7 linked regions of the Coturnix japonica genome follow. The protein of the gene in region 7 interacts with the protein of the main gene of each other region in a pairwise test. Links are inferred from orthologs where the notes say so. Each region holds a gene or a part of one and is shown on either strand. Other genes may lie near its edges.

What was found.
Region 1: the proteins of FSD2 (region 7) and CDC73 interact in binary tests that used the Homo sapiens proteins (3 or more experiments, as listed by UniProt). The two-hybrid records come from large-scale screens. The link is inferred for Coturnix japonica from reciprocal best matches to the Homo sapiens genes FSD2 and CDC73.
Region 2: the proteins of FSD2 (region 7) and BRD8 interact in binary tests that used the Homo sapiens proteins (3 or more experiments, as listed by UniProt). The two-hybrid records come from large-scale screens. The link is inferred for Coturnix japonica from reciprocal best matches to the Homo sapiens genes FSD2 and BRD8.
Region 3: the proteins of FSD2 (region 7) and FAM107A interact in binary tests that used the Homo sapiens proteins (3 or more experiments, as listed by UniProt). The two-hybrid records come from large-scale screens. The link is inferred for Coturnix japonica from reciprocal best matches to the Homo sapiens genes FSD2 and FAM107A.
Region 4: the proteins of FSD2 (region 7) and PBX3 interact in a two-hybrid assay, tested with the Homo sapiens proteins (3 studies listed by BioGRID and IntAct). The two-hybrid records come from large-scale screens. The link is inferred for Coturnix japonica from reciprocal best matches to the Homo sapiens genes FSD2 and PBX3.
Region 5: the proteins of FSD2 (region 7) and SH2D4A interact in binary tests that used the Homo sapiens proteins (3 or more experiments, as listed by UniProt). The two-hybrid records come from large-scale screens. The link is inferred for Coturnix japonica from reciprocal best matches to the Homo sapiens genes FSD2 and SH2D4A.
Region 6: the proteins of FSD2 (region 7) and FMR1 interact in binary tests that used the Homo sapiens proteins (3 or more experiments, as listed by UniProt). The link is inferred for Coturnix japonica from reciprocal best matches to the Homo sapiens genes FSD2 and FMR1.

The regions. Positions count from the first base shown.
Region 1 is NC_029523.1:3,380,346-3,384,294, forward strand, and holds the start of CDC73 (parafibromin), read right to left. Parts: upstream 2,801-3,949; 5' UTR 2,602-2,800; coding exon 2,471-2,601; intron 1-2,470. Other genes in the region: GLRX2 (glutaredoxin 2), read left to right, coding at 2,981-3,015, 3,250-3,319, 3,838-3,949.
Region 2 is NC_029528.1:11,890,451-11,893,061, reverse strand, and holds part of BRD8 (bromodomain-containing protein 8), read right to left. Parts: intron 2,326-2,611; coding exon 2,233-2,325; intron 2,009-2,232; coding exon 1,940-2,008; intron 1,270-1,939; coding exon 1,092-1,269; intron 441-1,091; coding exon 336-440; intron 1-335. UniProt on the Homo sapiens protein: May act as a coactivator during transcriptional activation by hormone-activated nuclear receptors (NR). Isoform 2 stimulates transcriptional activation by AR/DHTR, ESR1/NR3A1, RXRA/NR2B1 and THRB/ERBA2.
Region 3 is NC_029527.1:9,375,824-9,380,020, reverse strand, and holds the start of FAM107A (actin-associated protein FAM107A), read left to right. Parts: upstream 1-1,397; 5' UTR 1,398-1,645; coding exon 1,646-1,669; intron 1,670-4,197. UniProt on the Homo sapiens protein: Stress-inducible actin-binding protein that plays a role in synaptic and cognitive functions by modulating actin filamentous (F-actin) dynamics. Mediates polymerization of globular actin to F-actin. Also binds to, stabilizes and bundles F-actin.
Region 4 is NC_029532.1:8,212,748-8,216,824, forward strand, and holds the start of PBX3 (pre-B-cell leukemia transcription factor 3), read left to right. Parts: upstream 1-1,277; 5' UTR 1,278-2,139; coding exon 2,140-2,336; intron 2,337-2,373; exon of another isoform or gene 2,374-2,528; intron 2,529-2,555; exon of another isoform or gene 2,556-2,853; intron 2,854-2,982; coding exon 2,983-3,056; intron 3,057-4,077. UniProt on the Homo sapiens protein: Transcriptional activator that binds the sequence 5'-ATCAATCAA-3'.
Region 5 is NC_029519.1:30,063,082-30,066,581, reverse strand, and holds part of SH2D4A (SH2 domain-containing protein 4A), read right to left. Parts: intron 2,988-3,500; coding exon 2,828-2,987; intron 344-2,827; coding exon 278-343; intron 1-277. UniProt on the Homo sapiens protein: Inhibits estrogen-induced cell proliferation by competing with PLCG for binding to ESR1, blocking the effect of estrogen on PLCG and repressing estrogen-induced proliferation. May play a role in T-cell development and function.
Region 6 is NC_029519.1:17,289,197-17,292,696, forward strand, and holds part of FMR1 (synaptic functional regulator FMR1), read right to left. Parts: intron 2,268-3,500; coding exon 2,215-2,267; intron 1,240-2,214; coding exon 1,146-1,239; intron 1-1,145.
Region 7 is NC_029525.1:9,848,414-9,852,420, forward strand, and holds the start of FSD2 (fibronectin type III and SPRY domain-containing protein 2), read right to left. Parts: upstream 2,801-4,007; 5' UTR 2,222-2,800; exon of another isoform or gene 1,915-2,221; intron 271-1,914; 5' UTR 230-270; coding exon 1-229.

The sequences.
Region 1 (3,949 bases), on a different chromosome or scaffold from region 7:
TCTCTGAATGTAGCTTACTTCACTCGATTACTAACATCAAAGTAGCTAAAGAAATTAATAATTCTTTCATCCCTTATGACTAATGATATCAATTATTTAAGAAATAAAAATCATCAAGTTGCAAACCTTGCCAGTCCAGCACTACTGTTTTTATTTGTTTGGGTTTTTTTTAATATGCAAGTCTCAATCTCTTAGTAGCTATTAAACTCCAGCTTAAAAACTGAAGTGTTTACACAACACAAAAGAGAACGTTTCACCCGGTTGGTTTTAACAGCACAAATGTATTTCCAGTTCATGCATTCACACTGAACCTCTGGGTAACAGGGTAACTCATCTTTTAACTGCTCTGTTTCTTCTGGTGTGCTTGAAAGCATGAATTTTCCTGAGGGCCTGTGTCCCATCTGTGACAGAAAGCGATAATCCTCAGAACCACAAGACTAGACATGCAGGGTACCATTGAGCCACAACCAGCAGCTCAATCACTGTTTAAAAACTTCTCAGCTGTGCCTATAATCCCTCTGATGGGTAAACAAGGCAGCTAAGGCACTCTGTTAGATGGATTCCTGCTTTTGGATTCAGAACTAATTCTACATTCACTCTTACACAGCCAGAGATCAAGCATTATATCAAAACACACAAAACACTATCTCTAGCCACACACCCTCAGAAGTATTCTATTATGTTCCGTGAATTCAATCTGGGAACTAACCTGGATTTAATGAACATCCATGTCTTTCAGGTTGCTTTTCAAGCAGCTCCACTCCTCAGAATAACGCACTGCTGGCAGCCCCTGGTGCCAGTGGGGAGAGCAGGGCAGAGCTCAGCACACCCAGCAGCACCGCTGGCTCCTGCCAGCTCCGTGCTCAAGGAGCAAGTGTTAAATGTCTACTGGGACTACTTCTAATTCTAGAAGGGACAGAATGCCACCACTGCTACTCAGACTTGGATTACTCTCTCCTGACTGCAGGAGACTGTAGAGATGCAATTACAGCAACCATGCTGTGGACACCTAAGATGGAAGTCATATTTGCCTCGTGAAAGATTAAGCTCCTAACAACTGCAAGCATAGCCTGGACCCTCCCAAGGGATCAAGGATATGGGAGGCTTCCAATCTGAAAAGTTCCTGAAGATGTTCCTCATATGACCCTGAAATTACATGAATTAACAGCTCCTAAACTATCATCTCAAAGCTACTGAGCACAGCTTGTAGAACTGGTTTCATTTTTACACCTTTGTTTTAAGGACTTAAAGATCCACAGCAGTTCACAAGACACGCCGTGCATCAGCAGCAGTCTGATTCTATCAGAGGTTCAGATTCTTGGGCGTGAACAACAATTCACTAAAGACAGAAAACATATCTCCAAAATCTGTCACAAAACAAGAGGAAATACACAGCTGTTATGAAGCTACTGCTTCTGTTCAGCTACACATACCCATTGCTCACCCACAATCCTTCCTCAACCATATAAAGCCACCTTAATGTGCATAATAAAGTTTTCCTCCCCAGATGATGTCTTTTGGTAATAATTTGTATGCCCAAATCAAGTCTCCCTAAGCAGCAGTAGTTTGGCTTGTGCATCTGCTCCTGTGTTCCCTAAAGAACAGGGATGAAAGTTGTCTGTCCAGTCAGCCTTTACTCCTTGCTGGAAAGGCAAACTGCAACAAGGAAAACACCTTAACTGCCCATAGTTACTCAGCAGAACTGAGGGAGGATTTGTCAAGGACTCCAAAGCTCAGCTGTTTATGCAGATGTTTCTCTTCCTCCCCAAGTACAGACCAGCCCCTCCCTCGCAGCCAGGAAGTGCAAGTAAACCCCCAACAAGTTTCTGAGTGCATGAAACAGGTAACAAGGTAGTACAACTCTAGTTCTATACTGAAAGCAAAGCGAAGCCAGTTTAAACAAATCAACCTGTCTATGAACTAACCAACCGAACAGCTCAGTTTCCTTTCTCTCTTGAAGTACTTGCAGCGTCCTGATTCATACATCGATATTCTTATCATAACAGCAAGAACAAAAACAAACCCTGCTCTCAGGCTGAACGACAACGGGTTTGCTTGAGAAATCCTTCAGTTCCTCTGCTTCTCTATCGCGTTTTAAAGTAGTCCTGCTGATCAGTAGTTAAAAGTACTCTATACTTAACAAAAAGCACTGCTTCCCCTTGGCTTTCAAAGCTTCCCTTCGGCTTTCAATGCAGTGTTTTACGAGTCTCACTGACTCCCTCCTATCCCGGTGCACTATGAGCAGTGCTATCAAACCACCGAGTTCAACAGGTACAAAGCAGCTCCCGGCGCTGCCCATGGCGCTGCCCGGCCAGGCCCCACCACCTTCACGATGCCGATTGCGGCCTTTCCCCTCCGCTCGCTCCGCCGCCGCCTCCCGCAACTTCGGCTCAACTTCTTTCCATCTCCCATCCCGCCCCGTCCCCGCGACACCGGCCTCCTGCCTTCCCCTCCAACCCCGGCCGCTCACCCCCAGATGACATAGTTGGTCTTGACGTTTTTAGGCCAGGAGAACTCTCCGAAGATCACCTCGTCGCCCTTCACCACGATCTCTTTCTTCTGCGTGTTGTATTGCCGCAGCACGCTCAGCACGTCCGCCATCTTCACCCCGAAGCCGCCGCCGGCCGCCGCCGCTCCGCTCCGGGCCCGGCCCCTCCTTAAGCCGAGGAAGGACCCCGCCGCCAACAGCCAGGCCCCGGGCTGCCCTACAGGATCCGGGAAATTGAGGAGAGAAGGGATTTATCACCGTTCAGCGAAACGAAAGTGCATGCGTCAACGCTGCCTCCCTATGACGCTTTGTAACCGGCTTAAGAATCGAACTGACTCTCGTTACCGCCCCAACTGAGGAATAACGGACACAGGCACCGCGAGGGGCAGCCCCGAGTCTCGAGGGGCGGGGCTGGGAGGAGGAGGGGGCTGAGAGAGGAGCCGGACCGCAGTGAGGACTGGGTGGGAGCGCCGCCCCTTCCTGCCGGCCGCCATGTTCCTGCAGAGGGCGCTGCGACTGAGGGGCAGGTGGGTTGGGGGGCACGGGGTGTGAATGGGGATGGGGGGTGAGGGTAGGAGAAGGGGTAGGGATGGGGGTGACCCAGTGGGAGGGTGCAGGCCGTGGATCTGGGCAGGTTGGGTTGAGGGAGCGTATACCCGTAACTGTGGGCTTTGTGAGCTCCCACCTGGTGGAGACGTTACATTGAAAGGTAGTATGAGGCCAGCCTTTAAATTGAACGTGTCACTTATGTTTTTCTTCAGTTTTAGAATGGGAAATAGGCTGCCTACCTCTGTCAGTCTGTCCGATGCTGCTGCTGTGAATCAGATACAGGTAACGGGTGATGCGTTTACTGATCTTTTGAAACTCGTGGTTGCTTCAGGGCTCTTGTGAGTTAGGAAATCATAGAATGGGTTGAGTTGGAAGGGACCTTTAAGGCCATCGAGTTCCAGCCCCCTGCTGTAGGCACGGACTCATCCTTCTAGACCTGGTTGCTCACAGCCCCATCCAGCCTTGAGAGCTTCCAGGGAGGAGCTGCCACAAGCAGTTCTGCATATCAAACATACTTGTAGATAATTAATAGTAATGTTGATATTAAGTCACGCACTGTTTATCCCCAGTGCTGGGACCTGTTTTTCCTACGCTGTATCATTTATGTGACTTTTTGAAAAGACTTCTAGTCAAACTCAGTACTGCTCACAGTGTGGGGGAATTAAACCTTGTAAAGGTACCCCTACCAAATGCTTGTTGCTGTAATGGCAGATTGATAGATCCCTGTTTGTTTTTGTGACTGTCAGATACTGTTAAAATACACCAACTTACCAACCTGAACGTTCTTTTGCTTATTATAGGAGATAATCTCAGACAACTGCGTGGTGATTTTCTCTAAAACAACCTGCGTCTACTGCAGAATGGCAAAAAAGCTTTTTGACGGTCTGAACGTCAATTACACAGCTGTAGAAC
Region 2 (2,611 bases), on a different chromosome or scaffold from region 7:
TACCACACCTCCTCCAATATTTCCTCCAATATTTCCTCATTTCACAACACTTTTCATCACTTGCTCTTGAAATCACGGACAGAAACATAGGGATTGCAGAAATAACTCATGACTCTCAGACCCATCTCTGGGTTGATGTACATCCCCAGAGCTGAAGTCTAATCAATGGACTTAGTTAAAGAAACATAATAACAGTAAATTGTTCACATGAAGATGCAGGACCTATTCCAATCTAAAAACACATTCTGCACATCTTTGGTACTGGAACTTTATGTGGTATCTTGAGATCCTCCAAAAGACACCAGCCGCCCTTCTGCAGGGTGCAGCATTCTCACCTTCTCTGAAGCATCTTGCTTGCGAGTGGAGTCTCGCCCACGCAGGCTCTTTGCGCTGATCCCCGACTCTGACGTTTGCATGATCAGTTGTGTAGCCAGAAATTGCTGCAGGAAAACCATACTCTGTTAAGATTCTCTAGCAAAACAAGCTCAGTTAAAGCTTGTCAGCTATCACAAACCACAGGGCTGGGAACGAATGGGTCAGAGACAGTTTCAGTTCCTTGTTTGCTGCTCAGAATAAGTTTCCCCATTCACCTCAGCAGCCACAAGTCTGGAGGGACTATAAAAATCCAGTTCAAACTATGACAGCCCTGGCAGCTGGGACGTTCTGCTTCAGAAGAAATTCTAATGATACATATTCAAAGGACAATCTCAGGACAGTTTTGTATGTGCCTCAAGCCAGCACAGACTGACAGTCACCAAAAGCAGCAGCTGCGTCCCTTGTCATTCACTGATCTTGTTGCTCATTTCTGTTCCTGAACCACACCCCAGTTCTTGCTGGCCTAAGCATATGTGCACCCCCAAAGGAAATCAGGTTTGAAATTAGTCTGGGCTAAGCCAAACAAACATCTCACTGTGTTAGTTTTAACAATCCAGTTCACCACAAACACCTAAGCTAGTACAAGCAGGCAAAGATGGGGATTCATTTGAAGACACTGTGAGTGAAACTTCATTTTCACTTCCAGAAGTCTTTCCTGTACCTGTGGACCAATGCAGACAACTCTGTTCTGAAACAGCCTCAGCTCAGTACTTTACCTGGATCTGTTCCAGGACATCTCGCTGCATCTCTACAGCCATATGGTACACATCGTGGTCAGAGCTATTGTACATAACTGCATTTTGAAACATCAGCATAATGTCACGCTGGAACTCAGCTGTGGTTCGTATCAGTCCATTCTCAATGTTCTTCTTGATGGTAGATAAATCCATCGGCCTATGAAATACATTCAAAATAGCAATGCAAACATGTAACTCTCTCCTTTCTCATTTGCAGTCTAAGGACTAAAACATATCTAATTAGACCATCTATTTAATTTAGCAGAATATGTTCCCACATAGGCTGCATTCCTGAGTTCCAAGGCTTCAGATCAGGAGACACAATCTGCTCAGCAGTTAACAGGAATGGTAAGTACATGTAACAGCTGCCTCAAGAGAGGCATTTGCCTTCTCCAAGCATTCCGTGTGACACAAGGGAGCCACAGCTACAACCACTGGACTATTTAGGCACATTTTGGTAACTCTTCCATAATCTAGACTTTCTGAGGCAATAAAAGAGCTGATTAAAGAATCCGGGTTGTGGGAACATCACACCTTAAATTCAACCCTTGGACAATAACAGAGAAGCTGATAGTCACATACCACTTCACTGATAAAAAAATGTTCTGGTCAAATCTGTATTTCATTCAAGGACAGGGCTGTGTACAGACTTGTATGTGTTACTGAAGGTGTCCCTTTTTCTTAGGGAAATACAATGAATGATGTCAGAAGAAAGGTATTTTTCAAGTTTTGCAGTCTGAACAATGGATGAACTCTAGACTCTTCCTGGCAGAAATTCTTACGCAAATACACCAGAGTTCTTGTCACATAAGAATGCTGAGACTCACCTCTGCACAATACTGTGGTAGCCTGGTGCTATATCGTCAGTCACAGGCTGCAGGAAGACATTGGCATACCTAAAGAGATAGAGAGAGATTCCAGTGAATGCCCTGCCCCTGCCAATAGAGGAACAATTCTCAAATACTTGTGTCATGCTCTCATGTTTATTTGTCTGCTATCACTAACAGTGTGATTCATCATCTCCCCATAACAAGGCAGGTAAAGCCTCAGAGCTGGGAAAGTACAGACTTGCCTGAGATTAGTCACTTCTTTCTGCCAGTTCTCAAGACATCAAACTCACCTGTGATTAGCCGCTGCTCTCCAAACCAGCATGATGGCTTTCTTCCAGATCTTCTGAGCCTGTATTGCTTCCTGATCCTCACTGCACACTGAGCTGAGAAAAAAACAGAATATGATTTCCTCTGTGAATCTCCATACTGCCCTGGCGCAGAAACCTTACGGTTCATTTTGCCTTTGTCATGCTTACAGTAACCCAAGCCAGAGAGAAATATAAAAAATGGGACCTGGCACTACAGCACTGTTTGAACACCTGCACTTCTGAGTAAGGACAATCTAGTGCCAGACAAATCATCAACAAATTCCCCCACTGGACCCACTCAGCAAAACAGAAATGAGAATCCTGCACTCCCCCCAGGAAACAGCCTGGGATTTGCACCTGT
Region 3 (4,197 bases), on a different chromosome or scaffold from region 7:
CTTCAAACGAAGCGTTTTGTGATATGTTTTCTAGTTGTTTCTTAAATAATGTGTATAATTATAAACCAGTACCTCCTTCCCTCCATTTTCGAGCCTAATCCAGGCTTTTCTCCACAGGCCTGGCATTGCCAACCCCTCTGCCACCAGCTGGGTTTCCCCATCACCCATCCACTGTCACAGCAACATACATGGCTGTCCCCTGCCCACAGACATGGGGATGCTCTGGCCCCAGTGGTCTTCCACTGCCATCACAGAGGAATTCCCTGTTAGCTGTAGTATTTTATCCAAGCTTATCCTCCTGCACTTAGTGTGCACCTGACCACACCGTGGGAAGCCTCTGCCATACATCGATCCCTAAATCTGCTGCTGCAGCAGCCGTTAATCCCGGGCGCTGAATCACCCACACGGCAGCAGCAGTGAGCACCAGCACAGCGCAGCAGACACAACAGCCCTCGCGCCACACACCCCACTGCACCGCCAGCAGAAATATGCCAACTATTTTAAGCCCCCTCAGAGGATCTGAATTCGCTTGTAAGCCAAACTGAAAACAGCCTGGGACCCGTAAAGGCTGTTGCAAAGGGGAAAGCAGCACCTAGTAGCAGCTACAGTGGGGAAAACAACCAACCCTGCTTGCAATGCGTTGTTTTGGCTTTACACCAGAAGCCTTTCTAAAGGAAATGTATGTCTCAGCATGCTAAAGGCAGCTATAAAGAGCACTGAGCCCATCACTGAGTGTTAGAGGTACACGCAGTTTGGGAACAGTAGGGAGAGCTGAAGTGCAGCTCCTGTGTGACCTCACTGTGCAGCCAGAGCTCCAAAGAGCCCTTCCTCCCCAACTTACTGCAGCCTGAAAAATAAATCAAAAATCCCACAGTGTTCTGGGAGTCATAAATACGGCTTTAAGTGCCATGATTATTTAGCAAATTGAATTTGCTTATTAAGGGTGACGGCTGCAGGGACAGCAAACCCCACATGAGGTTGTTTTTCCATCTCCCCGCTGTTTCGGAAGGTGCAGAGATGTGGATGGTTCCTACCTGGGTGAGCACACTCGGTCGCAGTACCGTGTTCCCAACTCACTCAGCCCTGAGCTCTGCCCAGAGCAGCGGCTGCAGCCCCCAAGAACATCCACAGGATCAGATCTGCAAAATCCAGCACTGCTGCACAGCCGGGACTCAGGGGCTGTCCTGCCTTATTTTGGGGTACCGATTTATTTCAGCAAAGCACCAGAGAACAAGCCAGGAAGGATGCCACAAGCGAGGACTGCTGGGTGCCGGGGCCCCGCGGCCGAGCGAATCCGCGTCCTGTGACATCTTGCCCTGTCAAGTGCAATTACTGTAATCTTCCACAGCCTCTCAAAATACGGAGCCCGGCTTAGAAACCGGGCATCCGCAGCATGAAAGCTGCCTTTGTGCCCGGGCAGAGCCTGGGCGCGCGCCAGCCGTGAGGTGCACGAAGAAAATGAGTTCTCCACGTGCTGGGAGAAGGGAGGAGAAGGGAACCCTCCCGACCGGCCCCACTGCAAACGGGCTGGAGCTCAGCTGCCTCTCCCCGTGGGGACACTGGGGGCACTGGGAGCTGCACGGCCACCAGAACCCACAGGCATAGCAGGGACGGTGCCAGTGGGGCACGGCCAAAGTCCTGAACAATGGGAGGAGCGCATGGGAAGAAGGTACGTGGGTGCGGGATGCAGTGGGGGGTTTGGGGAGAGGGCACTGTTTGCTCACATGGGGCTTGTTTTGCTCGCCGTGTGCTACAGGTGGTGACAGCAGAAGGGGATTATAGTGGGACTGAGCTGCTCTTAAGTAGTGCCACCTGATGGGTTCAGTGCTGGGGCCGTGCTGGGCCTTTGGGGACAGCAAGGAGGGGATGGTGAGAAATGTCAGCCTTGCAGATCAACCCCCAGCACTAAGTTTGCACCCAGCTTCGGTCCCCACTCCCACACCACTTCCTTGCTCCCAACTAATGGAAGCCAGGGCAAGCCACCACCCTCAGCACGGGGTGACAAGTGCACATCCCTTAGGAAAGCAGCCATAGAACTCTAAAGGAGTTATACTAGGAGTAACTCTAAAGGGAGCGGTGCTGAGGGGTCCTGAGGCACGCAGACATGCTGGAGGTGGCTGTGCTGTGGATGTCATTGGGTGTCACTTTGCCTGGAGATATGTCACCACCGCGCGGCTGGGCTGCCCTGCTCTGGTGTCAGTTCTTCTACAGCTCCCCTCCCAGCTCCATCCAGTAGGTCAGGAAAAACAGAAGGGCTGTCTGAGTTCCTGACCTGCATAAAGCTGCTCAGATTACAGAATGCTTTAAGAATGCATTTTCAATTTGTCAGGAGCAATATCGGGAAGGTCCTCCTGCTTTCCCCCTGTCTAGCTTCAAGCAGTTTGTGGTGTCCTAAGGGCTTCAAGGAATCCAAACATCTGCTCCCTCCTTTCACCCTCTATCAAAAAGTTAAAATGAAATTTAATGAAAATCCCTCCAAAAAGAGCTGGGCTAGGACCCCAATTACTCACAAACAGCACCCAGTGACCCAAAACTGGCACCTGATCTTCATCCAGGCCTTGGCACATGTGCATGGCGTTACCAGGGCTGGGGCAATAAGCTGGTTAGGTCAGCCTTGGCTCAGAACTCAGTGCTCCCACCCATCCGTGCCATCCTCTTGATGGTTCTGGGGCAGCTTTGCTGCTGCTCCCTCTCTCCAAGCAGAGCAGTGCCAGCAGGGCTTGTGATTCAGTGCTTTATCCGAGAGGCAGGGAAGGTGCATGGGGTGGGCAGCAGAGCTCTGCTTCCCCCACAGCCCCTGCAAGAAAGCAGGGCACTGCTGTGCACAGCTCTGAGGGAACATGGGGGCAGGATGAGGGCTCTGCATTGCGTGCCAGTGCTGCCTGTCAGCAGTCTCAGCCAAGCCCCTGCCAGGCTCAGAGCAGAGCAGCATCCAAGGGTCGGCAGCAGGGATGTGGAGTGCAAGGCAATGCCCTGCTCCACAACAAAAGGGGCTGGAAAGGCTGCCAGTGGGGCTCCAAGGTCATGGCTGCTTTCAAAGGCTGCAGCTGCTCCCATAAACCTCCTCTGGCAGCAGCACTGACAGCAGGACACGGGGCTTTGCCCATAGCCCCATGCTGCAAGGCAAGGATCAGAGCCAGCCCTGGGTTCTCTGCTCACAGACCCTCACTGCTCGGCATAGCATGAGCCCCTCCTCACAACCCCAGAACAAACCCTCCCAACAACCACACGAGCACAGCCTTCCCCAAAACAGCAGCAGGGTTTGAACCGCAGCCGTTTCCCCAGGGAAAGTTCTTCTGTCCCCAAATTCCCAAGAGTGTCACTTTACACTAATGTCAGATGAGCTGAGATTAGGAAGCTTTGCTCTGCTGCTGAGCGAAAACAACAAGAGGCAGCATGCCAGTGCTGGGGATGGCCCTTGTTAGCACAGCAACACCTGGTGCCCACGCTGAGTTCCTCCATGGGAATGGGACAGGCAGCCAGGACTGAGCACTGAGCAGTGTGACCAGCCCCAGGCAGGTGAGACCCAAAGCAACTTCACCCCATGGGCACACGGCTGGCACCACACTCAGCACCATCTGCAGAACCCATCTGACAGGGAGCAGTGGTGCAATGCCAAGGCAATGTTAAAAGGAGATTTTAAAAGTCCACAGTGTTAGATGAAAGCTCCACTGGATGAAAAAGCTGGCTCTTGTCATTCAAGAGCTTGGAAACCCTTATCCTAACTACAAAAATCCTGGGCGCCTATATTGGAAAGTGCAGGATGGAATAAGGCAAACAAGAGGCACTGTGTCTGCGGCTGGCAGGAGAGAGGCAATGGGAAGGGAAAGGGCTGCTCCATGCCAGGGCTGCAAAGCACACAGAGGAAGTGGCCACAGCAGGACCAGCGTGGTGCCATCCTGGCACAGTGAAACCAATCATACTAGGCTGAAGCGGCAGCCCCACGACATGGTTTTGTGGCAATGGCCCCGGGAGCACATCCAAACCCAAATGGCAATTGGGATCCACAGTGCTCCCACGTCCTGAAGCACTGTGCCCAATGCACCTGCAAGTGTGGAGTGTGGAGATCACTGCAGGGCCACGCAGCAGCTGCCAGGTTGGGGATGGCTCAGTGGTCCCCAAATAGAAATGAACTAATGCAATTAAAGGCTTCACTGCTTTGCTGCTCCCTCTGCTCCAGGGGTTCACTCCAATGCA
Region 4 (4,077 bases), on a different chromosome or scaffold from region 7:
GTGCTGTGCTGTGCTGGGATGTGTGCGGGATGGAGCTGCGACTGAACCGCCCCTGAAGGGCTGTGCTGCTCTACTACAGCACGGCTGTGTCTGTGGAGCCTCACACTTGGTGGACAAATGTAAGCTGACGTGCAAAGTATTCGAAATAATGAGAATAGAACAGCTCTTTGGAGCAGCAGTTTTAATAAAGCTGGATGACACTAAGAACGCGATCATTCATACCAGAAAATGTCTCAGTAATGAAGATGGAAGATGTTAGAGAATGTTCTAACTACCTGGAGGAACAGTAAAAGTGTTGAACCCGAAATAGCCAGAACATCCCCCACGGGACGTGGAGAGGAACCCCACGTCAAACAGGGGACGTCGGAGTGATGGTGCTGAGGGGAGGAGACGTGGTGGTGTCAGCTGTGATAGCAGCGGGAGCTGTGGAGGAACATGGAGAGCTCTATTGGCCACATTGATCCTGTGCCATCAGCTGCACATCCAGGAGATGTTGGGGAGAGGTTTTAGTTTGGACATGACTTTTATCCGGAGCAGTCCGTCACACAGAGCGCGTCCCCGCCGAGCGCGGCTCCAATTCGTGCCGGGGCTTCACAGCGCCGAACCGAGACTGTGTTAATGCCGTCACACCGCGCAGCGACAGCCAGGCATGGCCGGGCAGGTGAGGGAGGCGCGGGGCCGGCGGGATGTGCAGGTAACACGGCGGGAGCACGAGCCGCTGTTTGTTCTGTACACACGTCACATCTGTGACAGCCCCGCGCTGTTTGCTATGGAGCTGAGGGAACCCAACTTCGTAAAGCTCCGAAGCTCCGTCCCCAAAGCTCAGCGCTCTGAAACCGCCCACGCTCTGGGCGCTGCCCCGTCCCGTCCCGTCCCGTCCCGCCGCGCGGTGCTGCCGCGGTCCCGTCTCGGTGCCGGCGTGTAGCGGAGGCCGGGGCGCTCCCATAGCAACAGAAGGGGCGGGGCCGGAGCGGCTTTCGTCGGGGCCACGTGACCGTTCGAACGGCCCAATCGCAAGTTTCTCGGCCGAGGGGGCGGGGGCTCCGCGGGGGCGGGCGGGCGCGGCGCCGCGCCTCTGTCGCCGATTGGCCGGAGCGCCCGCCCGCGGCCGCGCCGATTGGCCGCCGGTCCCGCCGCTCCGCGCGGAGCCCGCCCCCCGGGGAGCGCCGCGGCTCCGGGCCCGGCGGGAGGGCGACCCCGCGGCGCGGGGCGGGGCGGCGGCGGACACGCCCGATGGGGCGGGGCGGGGCGGGAGGGGCGGCGCGCTGCGGGGCGGGGCGGATCGGCTCGTCCTGTGGCTCGTCCGGCGCTGCTCACAGGGTGACACGTCTGCGGGGTGAGTGAGTGGCATTGGCAGGCTGTCAATCCCTCACCGGAGCGGCCATCAAACAACATAAAGCACACACAGTCACCGGGCGGCCGCGCTCATAAATCCCCGCCGGCTGATATTTTTGCACGTTGCTTCGCACACAGTGTGTAATTAATTTTTTTACAGTTCTTTCCCCTCGATTTCCGCTCTTTTCTTTGCGCGAGTTCAAACTTTGCTCCTCGCCGTCCCCCCGCTCACCCGGGATGGTTGGTGATTTTTGGGGGGAGGGCATTAATTTTGCTCGTGTTTTGGTGCCGTTTTGATGTGTCGGTCCGGGGCCGCTCGGCTCGTTGTGCTTTTTGCTCTTTGCCCTCCCAACTTCTGCGGGATCTGAATAATCCAACTTTGGGCATTTTGTCATTTTTTATTTTTTTTTTACTTTTTTTTTTTTTTTTTATTTTGTTGCCTTTTCGCATAGAAGATTCTTTGGACAAAGTGGGGAAAAGACATAGAAAGCAACAATAAAAACAATAATAGCAGAGGATAACAATCATACTACTGCTCATAATAAAACGCTGTGGAGGAAGATCGCTCCGGGGACAGGCAGCGGCCCGGCACAGACATGGTGCTGACGGGAGAAGACTGTAACTAAAGAAGAGTGATTTACCGCGCCGGGGAGAACAGCGCGTTTCCAGCCGCCGCCGCTCCCGGCACCGCCGCTCCTTCGGCCGCCGTTTCCTTTTGGTGTTTTTGCCTTTTTTTTTCGCCTCTCGCCGTCGCGGAGCGGCGGGGCCGAGCCGGGGCGCTCAGTGCCCCCGCGGCGCGGGGCCATGGACGAGCAGTCCCGCATGCTGCAGACCCTGGCGGGCGTCAACCTGGCGGGGCACTCGGTGCAGGGGGGCATGGCCCTGCCGCCTCCACACGGACACGACGGGGCCGACGGCGACGGCAGGAAGCAGGACATCGGGGACATCCTGCACCAGATCATGACCATCACCGACCAAAGCCTGGACGAGGCGCAAGCAAAGTTGGTGTCGTCTCGTTACGCCTTGTCTGTCGGCGCGCGTGGGGCGCGCAGCTCCGGCCCGGGAACGCGGCCGGGACAGAACTTCTGGCGCCGGAGGAACCGCCGGGCGAGCGGGGCGCGGCCGGAGCGCCGCTGAACGCCGCTTAACGCCGCTGAACGCCTCGAGCCGAGCGATAAACGCGGCAGCGGGAGGTGCTCGAGCCGGCCCCGTCCCGTGTCCGTGTGTCCGCGGGCCCCGGGCCGGGCCGCAACTTTCCGCGGCGCTGCCCCGTGCCCGGCGCGGCGGGAGATGGATGGCGGCGCCGAGCAGACACCGCCGCGGGGGGAGAGAGCGGCGGCCGTCCTAAATCACCGCCCTGCGAAACAAAGCGCGGCCCGGCCCGGGCCGCTCCGCAATAAATCAGCCCCGGACGGCGCTGATTTACGCCGCGCGCAGCGGGGCCCGGGCCCGGCCCGGCGCTGAGAGGCGCCGCCGCGGTGTGGCACGGAGCAACGGCCCCGCTCGGGCCCGCTCCTGGTGCGGGCCGGGGCCGGTTTCGGGGCCGGTTTCGGGGCCCGATGCCGGGCTCTGCGGGCGGCCTGGCGGCGCGGCGCGGCGGGCGCCATGTTCGCGTCGGGCGCTAACGCTGTGTGTGCTCTCTTGCAGGAAGCACGCGCTGAACTGCCACAGGATGAAGCCCGCGCTCTTCAGCGTCCTCTGCGAGATCAAGGAGAAAACAGGTAAGGGCCGGCCCGCGCCGCAGCCATCTTGAGCCCTCCTCCGCCGCGCCTCGGCGCTGCCGCCCGCTGCTCGGCCGCGGCCCTCCGCCGCCTCCGGGATGCGCCCGGCCCTGCCCTGCCCTGCCCGCGGTACCGGCGCACAGCGGCACCCGGCAGCGCCCGGCCCGGGCCCGGATCCGCCGCGTGCAGCGCCGGCAGCGCCGCGAGGGAAGCGCTGGAGAGGGACGGGCAGCGCCGAAGTGACGGATGCGGCCGCGCGTGCAGAGCGGCTCCGGCTCCGGCTCCGGCTCCGCGTTGGCAGCTGCGGGCGGCGGGGTTTGAAACACTGAAATGATGGTCACAACAACGTTATTTTCCGTGCAACATTAATGAGACGGGAAGGAATGTCGCGTTTGTCTCGAAGGCGTTTGAAGGGATTTTTGCAAATTTCTTACATCGCTGAATTTACAGAGATTTTTTCTTTTTTTAAAATAAGACAATTTTGAAAAATATCGTACTCTTCATTGTGACAATAAGGACTTTTTTGACTTTTTTTTTTCTTTTTTCTTTTTTCCTAATCTGGCCTTAAAACTGAACACCTGCACTCGTTTGCTTTTTAGCTGTATTTGGTGCTCCATTGCAGCCCTCTTAGTTGCAAGCTGAAAATCTGGGGTTATAGAGGTTAGCAGCCGCCTCGTGCACGCAGCAGAGCCCAGCTGAGCTGCCCGGTGCGCGGCTGTCGGTGCAGTTGGTGCGTGTTGTGCACGGGCTCCTGTGCCGCCGGGTCCCGCTTCAGCTCTGCTGACGGCTGAGAGCTGGATATCGGCTGCGCTGCAAATATTAAGATTGATTCCACGTTACACTGCGTGACATTACCTCAGATAAGGAGCGCGATCCTCTCTGCCTCCCCCCTGCCTGCGCGGTGTCCCTCCATCCGCGGCTCCTGTTTGTTTTCCTGCCCTGAACTTTGTGCCCGTGCAGCGGTGCCGGCAGCGGCCCCTGCTTGTGCTGAGCCGGAGCGGCCGTGGGTCCTGGGTCCTGT
Region 5 (3,500 bases), on a different chromosome or scaffold from region 7:
GGGATTCCATTCTCAGTTGTGAATCCCTTTGATTTCAAAGAACCTCTTACTTTACTGCGGGTTATGACAGAGAAAGAAGGGCAAAACAGAAATAACATGGAATATCTCCCCATATTACTCCCCAGTCTGCCAGGCTGGCCTGCTTTGTTCTGACACCTTATTAGTAGAGTATGGCAGTACTGGGCAGAGCTGGGCCAAGAGGAAAACAGCTGACTGAGACTTAAAGATAATGTCTGTGTCGGAAACAAAGTCAGCAACATCCTAGGTTGCAGCTTACCTGTGAGAAGCCACTCTTCCTCATCTGACAGTCTGCCAGCATCTGGTGAACATCCCGGGCTTCCTTCTGGGCAGAGGAAAAGAGTGGTGAGAAATAAATGCAGAATTTGGAACTTTACTCTTTTTTGGAATGTGTCCTTGACAAAAATCTCCATGACTGCAGGTGGAGATTGTGGGTACCACATAGTAGTGCTGGGCTGCCATAGCCTGGAATGCTCTTTGTATGGAAGTGCCGTGCTTTGTAGGCTGCTCTCTTCTCACAGCACTCCCTGGCAAGCCCAGTAAGGCAGGCAGGAACATTCTGCATTTTCAGAGCTGATGGCAAGAAGCAGCTACCCTTTCCTTTTCACTCTCCCCAAAGGTAGAGCACAAGAATCTTGGGAGTATTTTGCCCTTGGAGATGTGCACCAGTAAAGCATTTCCAGAGTGAATCTCACTTGTGCTTTCAACTTCAGGTACACCTCAGTCTAATCTCCTGCATATGCAAGTTGCTGGACTCTAGGAGTTCGAGGCAGAAGGAGTAATGTGACTTCTATGTTAACAATTTTTTCCAGTTTTCTCTGATAAAAAAATAGTTAGTTTTTTTTTCATCACATTAAATCAAATATACCACCGGGAAAAGAGTCAGGGGTGTCAGGAATTGTCCTAAGTCTGCCTAGATTAGGTAAGTGATACTCACAAGTGGTCCCAGGGAGCAGAAAGAAGGGAAGCTTGCCTTCTTTCCATCTCCATAAATCAAGCCCTAGCAGAACCTGCCATCTAGTGCTTCAGCTGCTTTTTCTCTTTTGTTACTGTGGCTGACTGCTGCAAACCACTGCCTGTCAGACTGACCCAACTAGCTGCATGCCTCATGTTTTCTCTTTCCTAAAACCAGTCTGGCTATGCTGGCAGCTGAGACCTGTCTTTTAGGAAAAGGTGAGGCTTGTCTTTGAGCAAACATCCACCCACCACCCTATTTGACCCAAACTGCCTCCCACAGCACAGTGAGTAATAAGTTAGCTGTACTACACTGCTTTCCAAGGACATGCTTTGCTTTCTCTATCACCTGTTGGGCTAATATTTAATATGACCCTGGATTTCCAATTTCCTTTTCCTAAACAGAGAACTAGGAACTTAAAACTTGAGTGAAGCAGCTTGTTTTCTTAGATCAAACCCCATGGCCCCTGCAGCGAAGCATAGTGCTCAGATCCCTCAGGTACAGAAAAGGCAATTTAACAAGGGAGGGTGAGAGAAAGCTAGCTCCCCTTCTCTCCACCTTTACAAAATGCAACATTTGGGTCTGCAGCCTGTATCCTCCCCTTGACTAGCATAAACATCAGAAACCTGGGAAAATAACTTATTTACAATACAGTGACGGAAAACAGAAAGTAAAATATGCAAAACTCCTCTGTTTTCATCTGCAAAAGTTTGTAAGGGTTTTATATCTTTGGTAGTGGGATTTTTAGTTGGCTGATTCAGTGATGGATTTTGGGTTTCGTTTTTGTTGCTGTTAATATTGACTAATAGCTTTCTTTAAAAAAGGGAGGGTGGGAAAAAAAAGGATCTCCCACATAGTTGCTCAACTTCAGCAAACAGTGCTGAGAAAAACCTTGTGTGATTCAGAACCATCTGATAAAGGAAACAGCCACTCAGCCACCAAATTCCCTTCAGCATATTGGCAGCAGTGGGAGAGGCATTTAGCCCAAACTCAGCCTTTAGTTACAGTGCTTTTATGCTGAAATATGGCATGGTTGTGTAACAGAGCAATATACACTCATAGAAGTTAGCAGCAAAAGGCAGAACGAAAACTCACAGGATGAGATTGGACTTCTCCCATTGAACTGGCAGGATTTTCCAGTTCAACTTTGATTGCACTGGTAGCTAATTTCTTTGTTGTTTTGTTTGTTGTTTTTTGTTTGTTTTTTTTTTAATCTCAGTTCTCTGTAAATGGCTTTTTGTAGCTAGTTAAACAGGACAAATGTATTTATTAATGGAGAAAAATATTTCTGTAATGAAACACCTCAGTAAAGATGGAGATGCTGTCATTGTAGTTACTGCATTTGGAGTTGTCCTGTGCTGTCAAGTTTATCAACTATCATCTTTTCTAGGAGACAAAGAAAAAAAGAAATAGACAACAAAAGAGGGGACTTGAGGATACGTATTTTAGAGAATAGTGGCAGAATTACATTCATCTCATCTTCTGTGAAAGTAGATGAGTTATGTGAGGGCCATGGCTTTCCTCTTTTGCCTCTGAAAAGCAGTCCAATCTGCCACAGAGAAGGAAGGAAAGTGATGTGATTCTCACTATATCCATGGAGAATGGGAAGCAAAGGAATTGAGAGTAACTTGTCTAGTGGTGCAGAACAGATCTGTCCCAGCTAACAATAGCACTTGGACCTTCAGGTCCTAAGGAAGGATGTAGCAGTATGGCTTGTCCTGAAAGTACAGATGAAAAACCTTAATAGTCAGCTGGCTTCTCTCTCAGATTTCTATTTATAGCAACCAGGATTTGCTGCACTTCCTAGATCTCAAAGCAAATGGTTATTAGTATGGAAAAAAAGGGGAAAGCTACCTTTTTGAGCTCCTGGCTTTTCCCAATTGTACCAGCAGTGTTTTTTCTCGCCTCTTCTTTCTGTTCCTCTACAGTGTTTTTATTGTTTCCCTGAACTTCTGTCTCACCCAGGACTTCTGGCTGTGGTTGCAGAGACTGTGTTACAGCACAGTCCGTCTCTCTGAAACACAAGGGACAGTTCTTAGGAATACCAGGGAGAGACTCTCTGCTCTCTAAACATCTGACAGGAAATTACACATGAGCAAGTAGTGCTGTGATGGAGCAGTGTGTGCCTGCATGCAGCTGTCATATCTCCAGATCAGGTAGATGGAACAATTAAATTAGTTATTCATTGTGAGTAACTGTTGGCCTGCTGTAGGCAGGCAAGCACCTGTTGGTGAATCAGTGCAATCCAAACACGTGGCCTGCTGCAGGAACAGTTACCATTTCCTGTGATATGTTGAGGTTACTGCACAGCAGGGATATCCTGGGAGACTGAGGAGCTGGGGCAGGCCCCAAGCTGGAGCTGATCTCTGCTGGTATTTTGTGTACCTGCAGAAAACCTGTGCCTTTGGTCTGCAAGTGAAGTGTGACAGTGATGACCGCACCCAGCCCAGCCCCGAAGTTTAAATCAAAGGGAAGAGGTTTTACAAAGAGATGAGTGTTACTTCCCTGTGGCAATGCTGGATTTGTC
Region 6 (3,500 bases), on a different chromosome or scaffold from region 7:
ATATTCTGTTGGATTCTGTCACCATGTGACAGATGGCAGCTGAGAGGCAGCCTGACAGAATGGAGTGTATGAAGCAAAGGTATGGAAATGAACTCCTCCATGCAGAAAAAACATAACCCACTGACATTTATCAGGTGACATTTGCCTGTGTGGATTTTTTCAAGCTCAGCCTTTGTTCATTGCTGGCAAAAACGCTAATGGTGGCTGACTATGGTGAAAAATTGTGTTTTGCAGCTGAGAATTTGCTCTGTTAAGTAGTGTCCAGCAGAGGGCCATAAAGATGACAAAGGACCTGGAGCACCTCAGGAAATGCTGAATGACCCAGGCCTGTCCAGCCTTGAGAAAAGATGACCCAGTGGGGATCTGATCAATAAATATCTAAGGTTTGGGAGGCAAAGGGAAGAGGCCAGAGTTTTCTAAGTAGTGCATACTGACAGGACAATTGGAAATGTCCACAAACTGAAGTATACGAAGTTCTGCACAAATGTGCACAAGAACTTCTTCACAGTAAGGGTGATGGAGCACTGGAACAGGTTGCTCAGAGAGGCTGTGGAGTCTCCTTCTGTGGAGATGTTCAAGAGCCACCTGAACGCCTACCTGTGCAACCTGGTCTAGAGAGCCTGCTTTGGCAAGGGGGTTGGACCTGATCTCTAGAGATATTCTAGCCCCTACAGTTCTGTGATTCTGCTATTGTGCTCTTTGTAACTGTTGTAGTTTCCATGGAAATAAATAGAAGGCATTACCTTTGGAGCAACCTGTATACAGAATGCACATTTTTTCATTCAGTTCAAAGTTTCGCTAACAAACAGACATTATATTAACTTATCTACACACACATTTAATAAAGTCTAAATGTAGTTAAAGAACTATAGTCCAAGTTAACATTGCATATATTTACAAATCACTGAGTTCTGACAAAAGATCCATGCTCAAAGAAAATCTCATCTCTTTTGTAAATCAGTGTACACATAATGATATTGTCATACTGTCAAAAATACATTTTGAGGGTAAGTTTGACATCATTTTCTACATTGTATTTCAAATCAAAAGAGTTGCAACATAATATGGGGACAAGCCTTCCACTGGCTTGGCTGACATTTTCTCTCTCTTCTCAAAAACATACTTTGTTAATGGAATATACATACCTCCACTTCATCACTTTCATTTATGTCTTTATTATAGCCTGCAGGTGGTGGAAACCTCACATCATGGAATGGTATTTGTCTCTCTGGTTGCCAGCTACGAATGAAAATACAGTGAATGACCTAAACACTTTCACTTTCCTTTTAAGAAATAAATTCATTCATTTCATTTCATCTTTTTTTTTTTTTTTTGTTTTGCAGAGCATTTGCGTACGTATATCAAAATCTTGCTCCTACCTGTACTGTTTTGAAACCTTCCAGTTGTTTTTAGAATTTATAGCTACAGGTTTTATCCCCAACATCAAAAATTCAGGTTAAAAAAATTCTTAACACTTTTAAACTTTTACTTCAAAATCAGTCTCTTTCATCTTTAGCTTAAAAGGAAATAACCCAGGTTATGTCTGAATTCACTTTGAATTTTAAAATTCTTTAAAATTTAATAAAATTAACAAGTTTTTTTTTTGTTTTTTTTTGTTTTTTTTCCAAAAGTAACCATAAAATGACCCCTAAAAAATACACTACTCCATAACAAAGATACACTAGATAGGATTATATATGTACATACACATATACATACACACACCTCACCTTGGTTTTCCTTCCTGAAGGAAACAAAATCTAAGCTAAACAATGTAACAGAAGACTAACTTGCTGTGCCACTAAATCATGGTACAAAATTTAAGCATGGGAAACTGGCATTCATCACCATCTATAAAACAAGTTTTGTAATAAAGCAATTGGGAAAATCTGAAATAAAATATTCAAATAAGATAGAAGCAGTCATGGTATCACCGCTTACTTAAAACACTGGTTGCTATTATGTAAGTCCGATAATACAATTTTCAGATCATTCACCTTCCCCTGCTTTTGTAATTTAAAATATTTAAACAATTGAAAGCACAGACAAAACGTACATAGTAGTTAATCCCCTAATTCTAAAACATAGCAGCAGAATCATACACTATCTTAAGGATGCCACTCTCCGTCAACAAAAGTGCTATTTAGGTTCATCAGATTCAAGATAGAAACTCTCCTAACTCTGTATTTGCAGATACAACAGCAATATACTTACTTGTTTTCAAATGCGACTGTTATTGAATCTTCATGTACATCCTTTACAAATGCCTGTGAAGAAAAAAGAGGTACACTTACAGTATGTCTGCAGATACTTTTAAAAAACAAGCCTCAAACAACGCTTTTCTTCCACAGATATTAGTATTATTCAGAATGTAAATATGTTTTTGAGTCAGCCTTTTACGTATTGTAGTAGACCAATATAAAACATGCACTGAAAGCTGGTAACCTCCTGAATTCACCCCTGTAAACAGGCAGGCAAACAGAATGTCCAAGTAATACACACAGCCTTTCTATTTCTTAGAAATAATGGAAGAGGTCACTAACAAATGACAAAATCATTTTGAAGTATGAGATATGAAATCCAATGTCTTAAACTTGAGTTATAGTTATTATCTCATACTTTCTGACAAGAAAACTACAGTTTAGAAATTAAACTTGACTACCCTTAAGAAAAAAAAAAAAAAAAAGACTTGTTTCACCACAAGATAAGCCTGAATATTGATCCACCAAAAATCACACATATCCATTCTAGCACAATTTTCATTCACACAGTCAGCATCCTTAGCATACAAACTTAAGCAAAATGCCCTGCAGCCTTCCTTGCTTTCTTCTGGGCAATGAATAGCAGCTGTGCTAAGTCTCCCACACAACCATGAAGCAGCGCACACAGTTAAGTCTATAAGCCTAGAGGGTGCTTTTTTCCACTTACGCTACTGAACTCAATGACCCTTGATCATTTCTCAGCTCTATGCTCAAACTCCCCCATCCACCACACACCAAGATTATATTCTAATTAAAAAAACTTAGGGATTCACTAGGAAAGATATTTTTCATAGCCTCAAACAGAGGGCACACAGCAATGAGGGTTGAAAATAATGCATTGTTTGTTTCTTTTCAAAAATACCTTTAAAAATTACTGAAATAGATGGGCACTAGCAACGTGCTGAGTATTTCATCACTAGCATTTATCCAAGCTTCTCACACCCTTGCAAAGTAGAGGTGAATGAAAGTCCAAGAGAGATTACAGAAGTGAATTCTACCAAAGGAGGTGCACCCCAGTAGATGAACAAATTCTCAGTAAGTTGAAAATAACTTAACAGCAACCTTCTTGTAAGTTGTAATTAATGAACTGTAGTACATTTCTTTCTCTCCACTTTTCAAGTTCCCAACAAAAGAATAACAGGTCTTGAAAGAGTGTTAAGATTCTGTTAGGTATGGCACCTAAGAGGTTAAGAAAATAAATAAATCCACCAGCTTCTTTCACAAGTATTCTCAAGCATC
Region 7 (4,007 bases):
TTTCACTACTCAGTGCAGATTCTCTTCTGGTATTTCCCTGAAATCTGCTTCCTTGACCAGATGGCTCTTCAGGAAAGATATCGAACCTCTCATTTGATCCGTAGAGATCCATGTGATAAAATATCAAGCCTTCAGTTTCACTAGAGTTTGGGACTGGTGGAGAAGCTGAATGACCAAGAAATTGGTCACTATTTTCATACTCTCTTGCACTGACAGATCTGGATGACATTGGTATCCTCTGTGAGGCTTTTGAGATGATGAGTCTCAGTCCTGTAAAAGAAAAGAAGAATCCCAGCTATGTGCTTAGAATCAAGCATGATGTGTTCTTTCTTAAAAATGTAGAAAGGAATAGGATTGGCTGACAGCTCTGGGCCTAGAGTTAAGCGTGGGAAAGGCTAAAGCTTCATTCCCTAATGGGATGCTTGGCTTTTCTGTCCCCTGTGCAAAGAGAGCTGTCTTTAGTGTGTATCTTGTATTTTCTGAGTGACTTGTCTGTGACCTGACATCTAAATTCCAAACTGTGGGGTAGTCCCATCTTCAGCATTACATTGGGATGTGCTTCAAGTGCATTTAGTGGTGTTCTGTACAAATGGAGATGGACTGATCTGAGGTCTGTTCACCCTTTAGCTGCCATCAAGCGCTGCTTCTGAACTGTCATTAAGGTATTTTGTAGGATGCCTTGTTGTGACTCCTGATGCCCCATAAAACATTAGCTAATGACCTGAAAACTCCTGTTCTAGATTTTTCAGGTTGTCTTTCTTGAAGTTGAAACTTGATGTTCCTTTTAGCTTTATTCTCACTCCCGTTCTCAGGTCCTTTCCATAGAACAGGGATAAATTCTGTCCTTCGGGGATTCTCAGGTGTTGTGAAAATACATTTTTTAACATATGAAATTTGCAGAAAAAGATGATGGTCCCCATGATAAATCACACAGTCTCCAGGAAGCAAGGCAGACCCTTGAACTGAGAGAAGCCTGATCTGATCTGAAGCTTGCAATGTGGGAGGTGTGAAAAAAGCATATGGATGCGGAATGCAAAGCTGTATGATAAAGCAGATGCATGTCGGACAACATTAAAGGTACAAAAGCAATCTTTATGCTGATTCCCCAGGCCCACTCCTTCTCAATATCCCACTATTAATAACAACAAATGAACTAATGCTGGTACAGGGAGACCACCAGGTGCTCTGTCAGAGCTGCTACATCCCCCCAGCCCTCCACCACTCAGCAAAATCATGGCTGCAGAACTGAAAAACAGTTCTGTTTTTCTAGCAATTGACTATGACAGCTAGCAGAGTTCATAGGGATATTTCAGCCAAAGTTAAATGAATCTATAGTTACATCTAGTCCTAATTCAGTGAAACAGGCAAAACCTTGGAAACCATTTTCTCCCAGAAACAAACAAACAAAAAATTCTCCAAAAAAGCTAAAAGTTCAGTCACTCATCACTCAGGATTTTAGGAGCTTCTGCAGAAGCTTTCACATAAGCTTTGCTTTCAAACTACTTTTTATAGTCTTCATAGTTACAAGTACTTGCTATCACCTCAACTTTGTTTCATCAGTATTTTACTAATATTCCTGAGGATTACTTAGCTATCAATGCCAACAAATTCAGTGATTTATTAGAAACTTATTGAACTGGTGAAAAATGCTAAGAAATTTCCCATTCTCCAGTTGGATACCAATGACTGAAAGCAATCCAGCCCCCTGGATCTCTAAGAAATTACACACAGAAGTTCACTGTTCTCTTCTGGCACTGCAGAAATGAATGTAGATTCTAGAGCTAGTGATTTCTTACCACAGCAAAAACAAACCCCACAGAAGTTATGCAGAAATACTACTATTTATGCTAGAGCTGATAAAATAAATCATGCAAATTCTAACATATGGAACAGAGTAAAGGACTTGAAACGTACCAGCAAATGTTGTCTGGCTCCCACAAAGACTTTTTTCCCCATAATTGTAACAATAAGCCTTGCTTTGCAAGCTACAACTAACTAAAAAAGTGAACAAGTATTTTTCCTACCAAAAGAAAATTAAATTATATAAATTAAAATGAGCATAATTAAGCGTGTCTGGAACCCTGCTGCCTAAATAAGGTTTTCAGATGATACGTTTGCTCAGTTTACAGACGCAGATACAATTACAGTGAAGAATGTTTAAGTCCATGACCACCAATAATGAAAAAAATACAGCAAAGAATGTTACTACCTAAAAACTTGCCTTCTATCTTAAGACGTCATAAATTCTTCTGATAGCTCAGATGATATCAAACTTCACATTTATTTCCCATAGTAAAAATTAATTCACAAAAAAGCAATTCCCTGCCACTTTCCTACATCTGCAGTCGGAAGACTTATTGCAGTAACTCTAGACCGCCTCTTTCCTCAGATAGGGACACGCCAGCAATGAGCAATGGCACAAATATAGATGTGCCCCAGCTGTCCTTGAGCTGCACACTGCTTGAGTGTCACCAGGACGAACACCATCCACTGAGAAAAGGCTCTGATGGTTCTGTGTGATTCCTGAGCCAGAGGACTTGGAACATTTATACAGATACCTCTCTAAAGCCAGAGCACACACTCAGTTTCTGAGCTGATATTAACAAACCCAGCAGAGTGCAGTAATAGACTCTAGACATGATTTCCAAGGGTGTAGTTGCAGGTGCGTTATCTTGTGTTGTATGCACAAAATGTGCATTCTTCATGAACAAACTCAAATGGATATGCACATGAAGACAGCAGGACAGTTAAACTGAAATGCCTATGCTGTTCTTTGCAAAAGTTTTATGGCAAAACCTGACTATCAAATTACTAGAAATTGCTGCTAGTGATCTGAGTTGGAATCAAGATCAGGTTCTAGAAAAGACATCTAGGAAAATATCTAAGAAACAACAGAATTTAGGGGGGAAAAAAATGCATGATGTGCACTTGTATATGTACACCATCCCCACTCTGTGTACGTATGCTGGGACTTTGGAAAGCTATTTATAGTGAAGCAAGTGGCTAATGGCCAGGCCAGGGGAGGGATTTCACAGAAACATAACCCTTCGGTCTGTGTTTAGCAATGGATCACCTGATAAAAAAAATAGGCAGATATTACTGCTGAACATTGTGATCACTGTGATTACTTCAGCTCTATGTAACCGCTCAAGCCCACAAAACTTTTAGTTGTCCAGAATACATAATGTTCTGTTTGTAAACTTGCTAGTGAGCTAACCTTGCTGGCAGGAGATGTTTAAGTGTGCTTGAGGACACTGCAGTGTATACTTCTCGAGCTCAGTAAGATGGGAAATGTCTATTGCATCTTGACAGAGCTCTGCTTTTTCCTCTATTCCAATCACACTTGGTGTCATTTCCTCACATTTTTAGCAGTACAACTGCTGGCTGTTTCAGCGACGAGTTACAAGTTAATTACCCATGTAGTCATAATCTCATTACTGCCAATAGTGTCTCTATCATCTGCAAGATCAGAGCAGAAATGTTTCCATGTAAATGATGCAGCCTTTGTAGGAATGTTAACACTGATGCTGTCAAACGGATGTTATTAATTTTTCAGATGGGAGCTCATTTATGCCTCTTTGTTGTTAATCTACAATATCTCACAGGCTTTCATCTATTGAAAAATTAGTAGTGTCAGCTTTACTTCCGAAGACCAGAACACAATGTTTTGTTTACCGTAAATTAAATTCAGCCTCGATGAGAGATACGTGCTGTACAAAAAGCTGTGTCACTTCCCGCTCTATTGCGAGGCCTGCGGGTCCTTTCATAGGGGCTCATTGGAAAAGGCCAACACATGCATTCAGGTTGGATATTAGGGAATATTTCTTCTCGGAGGGAGTGGTGAGGCATTGGCACAGGCTGCCCAGGGAAGAGTCGCTGTCCATGGGTCCGAGAGCAGGGTGGATATGGCACTGAGGGGCATAGGAGGGGAAGGGGTTATGGTTGGACTGGGTGTGGGACTGTGTGCCACCCTCCTGCTGAAGTCATTCAACAGCCAAGAAAGGACT